Mus musculus: one gene and its partner. The protein of the gene in region 1 interacts with the protein of each later gene in a pairwise test. Links are inferred from orthologs where the notes say so. Each region holds a gene or a part of one and is shown on either strand. Other genes may lie near its edges.

Region 1 (4,214 bases):
AGTGGGCAAAGGTCCTGATGTTGCTAAATATTTGACAACACACTGAACAGCTAGGTCCATGGTGAGGAATTATTTGTCTGCAAATGCTAGTAATTTCAAAGTTTAGAAGCCTTCATCTACCCAACCTTGTTCAACCTAACCCATGACCCTAAGGATGCATGTGGCTAAGGATGACTGTGAATACTGTGCAACACAACATTATAAATGTATTTAAAACATTAGGACTCTCTCTCTCTCTCTCTCTCTCTCTCTCTCTCTCAGTGTGTGTGTTGTGTGTATCTGTGTGTTTTGTGTGTGTGTGTGTGTGTGTGTGTGATTTGTTTTAGTAAGGTATCACCATGTGAAAAGGCTAAACAAGCTTGGGTCTAGGCCATAGTGAATGACTCTGAAGAACAAATAAATGGATTGAGGGCAGCTGGTGTGATTAGGGGGACTCTAAAACTTCTCAGTGGGGAGCTGAGGCAGAGCTATGGACTCCCAGGTGCTGGTGCCCTGCTGCCAAAATCTCAGAGAACTCAGCCAAGCTCACACATATTGAACCACACCTCCAGCACTCCTGAAACCACTAAATCATTATTTTATCTGTTATTATTTACTAATACTGCAAAAACTTAATATATATATTGGATTATCCTCAAACTGTGAGCACTTGTTTGGGAATATATATATATTGTATATATATATTTTTTGTATATATATATAAATTAGTGAGCTTACCAGTTTAGCACTGATAAACTCAAACACTCAAAGAGGTACATACACTTATGTAAAAAGAAGTTTCATTAACTAAATTTCTGTATTCATTGTTCTAATTAGGAGATGTTTTATCTGAAATTGTGCTTTCAGTCACCATCGATGAAGATTCTTCCTCAAGTCCTGTATTTCAAAATGTTTGTGTGCTCAGTCCCATTAACATTTGCTTCTTTAGGTTGGATATAGAGTTTATGTGAAGACGAGGTGGGTAACTGTCTTGGTTGCTTATTTCAGTTAGAGTGATACTTACAGCAGTGTGGTTTTTCCCTTCACTGTTTTTACAAAACTAGGTATCTAGAACAAGATACACTTTAAAAAATATCTTTGGGTCCTGAGGGTTGAGGTTTTCTCGCTGAAATCATTCTTCACCTTTAAAATGCTTTAATGCTTTTAAGGGGCTCTTAAAGTGCAAGGGTTTAAGGCCCGGAGCTAGTTAAGCTTTGAGCAGATGCAGTCTGTTAGACAAGAATAGAACTCATCCTTTACTTTGGGGAGCTCTGACACAACATCCAGCTGCTTCCAGTCATTTGACTCCTGAAAGCTGCCCTAATCCTGGTAAAGGCAGCCTCTCCTGCACCCAGGTCCACCCACTGCTCCTGATTGGCGAGGCTCTCCGCGACCGGAGCCCGCCGCCTACGACGTCCCTGTGAACTGATTTGAAATAAGAGCCAGGCGGTCCTCGCTAGCCTGCGCCCGACTTTTCATAGGCTGGAAAAGGAAAGGTTGAGAAACTTGACATTGTCTTGGGTAGAGAGCGTCTAGAAGCAGATCAAAGAATAAAAAGGGAGGGGGACGAAAAACGTGCTCTTTGCTGCCTGTGGATTCGACCGAGTTGCTTTTGTCTTGTGGGCTTTTCTGCCGGCTTTGGTGTCTGCGCTTGGAAGCCTGCGGGTGCGCTTCCGAGCAGCTTGCTCCCTGCCGGATGGGTCATGGAATTCTAAACATGAGGCAGGTAAGCTTGGGGGTTGTGATTGTAGCTGTGCTGGCGCCAGCCACAGAAGGAGGGCTTTAGCTTGGGGCCCCTGCGACCTGTTACTCCCAGAGCGGGCGGAGTGATCAAACGCAGCGTTCCAGCAGATCCATTAGGTGGAAGGAGGGGACTGCCTTCTCTTCCTAAGGCTACCTTAGAAAGCACATCACCTGCCGGCACCCCACTGCCTCGTCCTTACTACCTACCCGCGCCAGCTTTTGCTTCTAAGAGTGGTTGCTGATGTCAGGCAGTCTTTGTAAAAGGTTCAGAGCGGTTTGTGGAATATGCAAATCAATTCCAGTTTGCGGGCCTCTGGAATGTATTGTGCTGGATTCATCTCAAGCTTTTAGCCTCTACCCTATTATGCTTCAGGTTAGAATAAAGACAACTGCACAGTCTGACAAAGAAGCACGCTGGGACTCTTATCTTATTTTGCTTTCACGTTTTGAGCACTTTACTGTGTGTCCGAGGCTGAGAAGGCGAAAGCAGTCTGGATGGAACAAGCTGCACTTCCAGCGGAGGCAGGCGCGGGGAGGGGGGAGGGGGGTGTTACAGACTTTTTTAAAAACCGTTCTAGCACTTTAGGAGTTGTATTTTGTGTTGCTGCTGGACGTAAGAACACAGTCCCGGAAGTACTGAAGGGAGACCGGTCTTGAGTGTGTCTCTGTGAAGAATTCCAAGCCAGCAGCTTCTTCCGTCGCTCTAGGGCATAGGGATACAATTCCTTATCAACTTAGGTAGAAGTTTATGAGGTTTATAGCTTTGCCGTTGAGGAAAAAGAGAAAAGGAAAGACTGGATTACAAAGCCTAGAAGAGGGTGTAATTTACAACTCTATCACAGTTGGAAAAAAAAATCTTACGTCAATGTTTTATTGCCGAGATCGATACTCACAAGGGAAAGACAAAAGTAAAAGCCTTTCAGTGACTGGGAAGGACAGAGACTCCCGGGGAGGAATGCTAGTTACTCTTGCCAGAGCGGAGTAACTCCGGGTGGGAAACTGAGCATCTGTTTTGTCACCGGAAAACCTCTTCTCTTTTTTCTTCCAGTTGAGTTGGGTGTGCCCCACCCCAAAGTGTTCACTTTAGGCGAAAGTAAACCTTCCCATGAGTGGTTGGGCCAAGGGGTTTACGACTTTCCGTTTCACTGCCGCAGAGGTAAAGCAGAGGCCCTGCATGAAAGGTCAGGAGCAAAGGCCCTCACATTTCTTATTCGCTAACTTGCTCTTCTGGACGAGCTTGGGAAATTGCAGGAGTACAGAAAAAAGCACATGAAAGACTGTGTGTGTGCTTTCAGCAAATTGCATCTGCCTAGCTGGAGAGTGGTGCAGAGGCTGGCTTTCTCGAAGTTTTGCGATCTTATAGAGCAGCCTCATTCTTTGAATTTCTAGCAAGCACATGAGATAGACAAAAGGGGCAAGGAGGCTTGCTGGATAGGAGCAAGAAAGAGAATAGGTACACAATACTATTTTTCACAAAGGTCCTAAGCCGGAACAAAGAAGTTATTTGATGCTGTGTGAAGCCACCTGTCTTGTCCTCGGTGATGTGTGAACTCAATTTTTAGAATCTTTGTGCCCACACAGTTCCTCTGGAATGGGGTGACACTCCCTCTGTCTGATGCCTCAGGCAGGCTTGTCCAGAGCTTGGGATGATTTTTCCCATGTGGAACTGTGGCATTTGTATGAAGTTGGCAAACAGCCCAGTGTTGAAGTTTTAACTGTACAAGTAGGCATGTAGTAACTCCTTAGTTATTTAATGAATGACCATCTTTTCATCCCACATCTCTGGATACATATATAACATTGTTCTTTCGCCTATTGGGTAGTTGAAAAGAGGGAGGGACTGGGGGAGGAGATGCAAGAGTAGCGATCATTGTTCATACAAGAAACCAGGCATGAGATGGTAGCATTACTGCATGGGCGAGTCCCAGATTTGTTCTTGTTTCTCTTGTTGGGGGAGGGGAAGAGACCTTACCACTTCATTCAGGCAGAGGAATAACATCCACCAACCAATTTGTCATCTTAGGCCCAGCAGCCCCTGGCTGTATTTGCAGGGTTAGCTATCAAACCAACCCATGTGTCATCAGCTCAGCAATGAAACACAATCCTCTTGCTGGTAAGTGATCCGTCCCTAGGGCTGTGCAAATGCCGAACAGTGGGGTGGCAAGCCAGGACAGATCCCTACCACTAACTAGTTAGAAATTCTCCATAGCCCAAAACTCGCCAACACAATTAGAAGGCTACATGTTTGTGTGTAAGACTCAGAAAGTTTGGGCTCTTACCAGATTGTCAGCACACAAACAGTGCAGGTCAAAATTCTTATAAGGTAAATGAAACAAGCAAGCAAACAAACATAAACCTGACAAGTTCATCAGGAAGTCATTTTAAAGTGTGCCAACCTCTCTTGGCACTTTGATCAAAAAAAAAAAATGGAAAACTTTTCAGATTCTTCTTTGAGAAGGAATTTGCTGCGTTCCCAGGCAAAAGGAAAGGCA
Region 2 (3,985 bases), on another chromosome or scaffold:
ACGCTACTTCCAGGAAGGCAAGAGGCCGGAGCGTAACCCTTGGAACCCAGACCTTCTCACCTAACACTCCGCAAACAACGCGGTCCTGCGGTGCAAGCACCAGGTTTGGACCAGAACACCCGAGTCCAAGTCCCAGCTCCACTTCCGGACTCGTCTGTGCCTTGCACAAGTCTATTACTCTCGGAGAAATGTAATGATTCTCTATGGACCACAGCGAGATGCGGAATGTAAAGAAAGCTTTAAGGAAGATGCAAGCGACTCTCCAACTTGTTAGGGCAGTAGCGCTCCCAGCGGGGGCAGAGCGGCCAGAGGACCAATCACAATCACCTCTCCCTTCACTCCCTTCCCGCCGCGCGCGGGTGCTGAGGCCGCTCCCTGCGGTCCGGCCCCTGCAGAAGCCTCGCGGCGTTGTTTGCCATACCTGCAGCCACCTGGTCAGCGGGCCCCTCCTGTTGACCCATGACGAAGTCTTGCACGAGGCCACACAGGGCGCCCATAGGCGCCACTGCCTCCTCCAGACCGGTGGCGGCAGCCATGACGCTAGCCAGAGATTGTGGGAGGGGGAAGTGGGTGTGGCTACGAGATGTGTCTCTCCGCGCACGCGCCTCCATGGCCAATAGTTGGGCGCAGACTTCAGGGGCGGGGCACCTCCAGGTCACGTGCCTGCCGGCTCTGGGCCAGGCAGTCCCTTCAGGGACCTAACGGCCCCTCCCCAGAGGGCGGGGCCTGGGCCGGGGCGCGGCTCCGGGAGGGGAAGTGACTGCCGGGCACGCAGCCGGGGCGGTTGAGGGCGCATAATTCCCGGCCGCTCTCCCCGGGAGACGGGCGACAGGGCGGGCACCTGGCTGGGTGGGGCCGAGGGGCGGTACGCATCCTGGGAAAAGCCAATGAGAAAACCAGACCCGGCCCGAGGGGCGGTGCCGTCGGTCACATGCGCACCTGGGGCGGCTGGCGACCGTGGCGCGGCCACCCCAAGCGGGAGGAAGGGAGCGGGGCCGGGCCGGGGCGGGGTTAGGCAGGTGAGTGACAGGCTCCGGGGGGCCGGCCCCAGCTGGGAGCTCGGAGTGATCCTGGAGTAGCTGCGGCGGTGTCCGCCCCCTCCCTCCGCCCCTCCAGCCGGGCTGGTCTCTGGCCGGGCACTGTCGCGGGCCCCCCTGGCCTGGCCACCTCCCTCTCCGCTGGCCCGCAAAGTTTGTGGCGAAGCCGGCGTCGGGCAGAGCGCTCCCCAGGGGAGATCCAGGAGCTCTCGATGTCGGGCTGCGGGAGTCGTTGACCCGGGGACGCCGCGGTTCGGGGCAGCAGCGTGGAGCAGCCGGCCGACCGCCGCCTCTGGTGCATGGGGGACCGGCTGAGAAGCCAGCATGGGCAACTGCGTGGGGAGACAGCGCCGGGAGAGGCCGGCTGCTCCGGGACACCCCCGCAAGCGAGCAGGTAACGCCAGGAAAGGCAGCGGGGTCCCGGCGCGCTGCCAGTTGGCCCTTGCCTTGCCCGAACCTTGGGGTTCCCGAGCGACCTCGCTCGGCGCCGGGCGCTTGGGTTCCCCCACGGCTTCTCGGAGCCAGACGGGGCCCTCCCCGGCGCGGGCTGTCTGGGAAGCGAGTTGGGGTAACTGCGAGCGCTGACCCGGCCGGGAGGCCAACTCGCTCCCACCGGGAAGCTGGGGATGGGGGCGGGGGCAGGAAATGTTTCCAGACCGCGACGAGGCTGGCGGAGGGGGCCAAGCGAGTGCGCCGCGGATCTGGCAGCCCCGGCCAGGGTCGGCCGGCGGCCGGCCGGGGCGCGGCGTGGGCAGCCTGCGTCCCCAGAAGTCGGAGCGATCGAGGCGAACACAGTCGCTCATTCCAGCGAGTCACTGTGTCATTATCGGGCTGCAGGTCGTTGTCTGCGGGAATCCGACTTGTAAAAAGCAGTGCAGGACCATGGAAAATAGAAATCTTTATTTCCTCCCACCTCTCCACACGGCTTTTTGGAGCCTCGGTGGCTGTCTGGGAGTCTAGGAAAGGTGGGGTGCGGGGTGAGCGTCGCCTTCGTGTTTGTTAGGAGCGTTCTCAGCTCTTGGAATGGGATCCCTCTCAGCCATGAGAATGGGATCTGCTCTCTGGCAATCTTCGAAGCTCCAGTAGCGCGGTCTCACTTTCTTGGTACACCAGCCCTGTCCTGGCGCTTCGTTTGAGGGTCATTTCCCTGTCTTGTACTCTCTTCTCTGGGGGTGTTGCAAAGAACTTATGCAAATGATAAACTGTGGCGCGCAAAAAGACCTTCAACACTGGACTGAATTTCCAGATCTACCTCTCTTTTATGTAAAAACACAGATCCAGAGAGGTTGGGCAGCTTCCCCTAAGTCACACAGTGAGTTAGAAGTGCAACTGAGGTTGGAATCCGGTCTCTTCCCCCTTGTTACCACATACCCCTTTATGTAAGAGGAGCCACAGGCGCAGTTGTTAATGAAGTGGAAACTCTAGTTGGAGTTTCCTGTCTGCTTTGACACTGAAGGTGTGTTGTTTTGCTTGTGTAAACTGGGAAGGAAGATGGGGAGAAGCACAGGGGAAGCTGGGAAGGATGTGTGTGTGTGTGTGCTGGACAGGATGACTTGTGCAAGCAGAAACGTTTTTATGGGAGGATGGAGTAAAACTTACAAATTCCTTTTGAAAGCAACCCTGGCCTTTCTTCTGACCAAGGACTTTTGTTCGTTCATTCATTCATTCATTTATATCATTCATACATTTGATCAAGCAGAAAGCAAATAATTTTGATTTCTTGTATGCTCCATCCTTGATCTTGCCTCGTGTTTTTATGGTTGACTACCCTTTCCTACCTCAGTCTCCGAACTGCTTTCTATCTCTGCTATCCTTATCCTGGTTTCCTTTCTCTATCATTATTTTTTTCCAGTTTTGAGGGTCAGGAGTTTACAGAAGCATTCTGCCATTGAATTGCATCTCTATCCTCCGATTTTCCTTTTCAATTTCTCTTGCCCACCCTCACCTGTTATACACCAGTGGCTCAGTCTGACAATCTGGGTTTCCTCATGACACTCCCTCCCAGAGATAGCTTACTTAGTTGCACAACTCTTTGTCCATCAGGAAGACCCCTGTCTCTTAGTTACCAGCTTGATTCCCAGACCCCCATGTCTAGGCAGACATCAGTACTGTGGATATCCTGGGGCTCAACCCATCCACAACAGGTTCTGCACATCTCTACCCGCTGTCCTGTACTCTGCTGACTTGTCCTCAGCTTTCTGTCAGCTCGTCACAGGAGCCTGCTAGTTCTTCCATCAGAGTCATTGTGTCTTACAGACATGCCCTTTCCCAAACCATCTCAAGCCCGGCTATTCCCCCAGGCTGCAGTGAGCTCCAGGGAGGGCAAGCTCACCATCAGTCATTCATCTCATACCTGCATACACTCCATCTAGAAGCCACTGTGTGTCCAGACTGCAGTTATTTTTGTTCAGTACCTTCTACCTCTACAAGGCCTTTAACTTTCAAGACTGGGCAAGTCTGGCCTGGTCCTTTTAGAACCCGATTGCTTCCTCTTCCTTGACATTAAGGCCAGTAATGTTTTCATACCTTTTCCACTTTAGGAGAGTCTTTCTTCAGATTACACCTCAAACCCCAAATGCATCCATCCATCCTATTTGCCTTCATTTCTTTTCTTTTGAGACAGGACATTTGCAATATAATGAAAACAGACTGGCCTAGAACTCCCTATGTACCTAGTATAGCCATGTACCCTAGCTTGGCCTTGAACTCTCTCCAGCCTCGAGTGCTGGGATTATAGGAGTCTACCACCACATCCTACCTTTTGTTTGTTTGTTTGCTTGTTTGTTTATTTGGTTTTTTTGAGACAGGGTTTCTCTGTATAGCCCTGGCTGTCCTGGAACTCACTTTGTAGACCAGGCTGGCCTCAAACTCAGAAATCCGCCTGCTTCTACCTCCTGAGTGCTGGGATTAAAGGCGTGCACCACCACACCCGGCTAATTTTTTTTTTT

What was found.
Region 2: the proteins of Mid1 (region 1) and Ubtd1 interact in binary tests that used the Homo sapiens proteins (3 or more experiments, as listed by UniProt). The two-hybrid records come from large-scale screens. The link is inferred for Mus musculus from reciprocal best matches to the Homo sapiens genes MID1 and UBTD1.

What each region holds. Positions count from the first base shown.
Region 1 is NC_000086.7:169,878,205-169,882,418, forward strand, and holds the start of Mid1 (E3 ubiquitin-protein ligase Midline-1), read left to right. Parts: upstream 1-1,414; 5' UTR 1,415-1,705; intron 1,706-4,214. UniProt on the Homo sapiens protein: Has E3 ubiquitin ligase activity towards IGBP1, promoting its monoubiquitination, which results in deprotection of the catalytic subunit of protein phosphatase PP2A, and its subsequent degradation by polyubiquitination.
Region 2 is NC_000085.6:41,980,578-41,984,562, forward strand, and holds the start of Ubtd1 (ubiquitin domain-containing protein 1), read left to right. Parts: upstream 1-1,185; 5' UTR 1,186-1,361; coding exon 1,362-1,431; intron 1,432-3,985. Other genes in the region: MMS19 nucleotide excision repair protein homolog, read right to left, coding at 422-536. UniProt on the Homo sapiens protein: May be involved in the regulation of cellular senescence through a positive feedback loop with TP53. Is a TP53 downstream target gene that increases the stability of TP53 protein by promoting the ubiquitination and degradation of MDM2.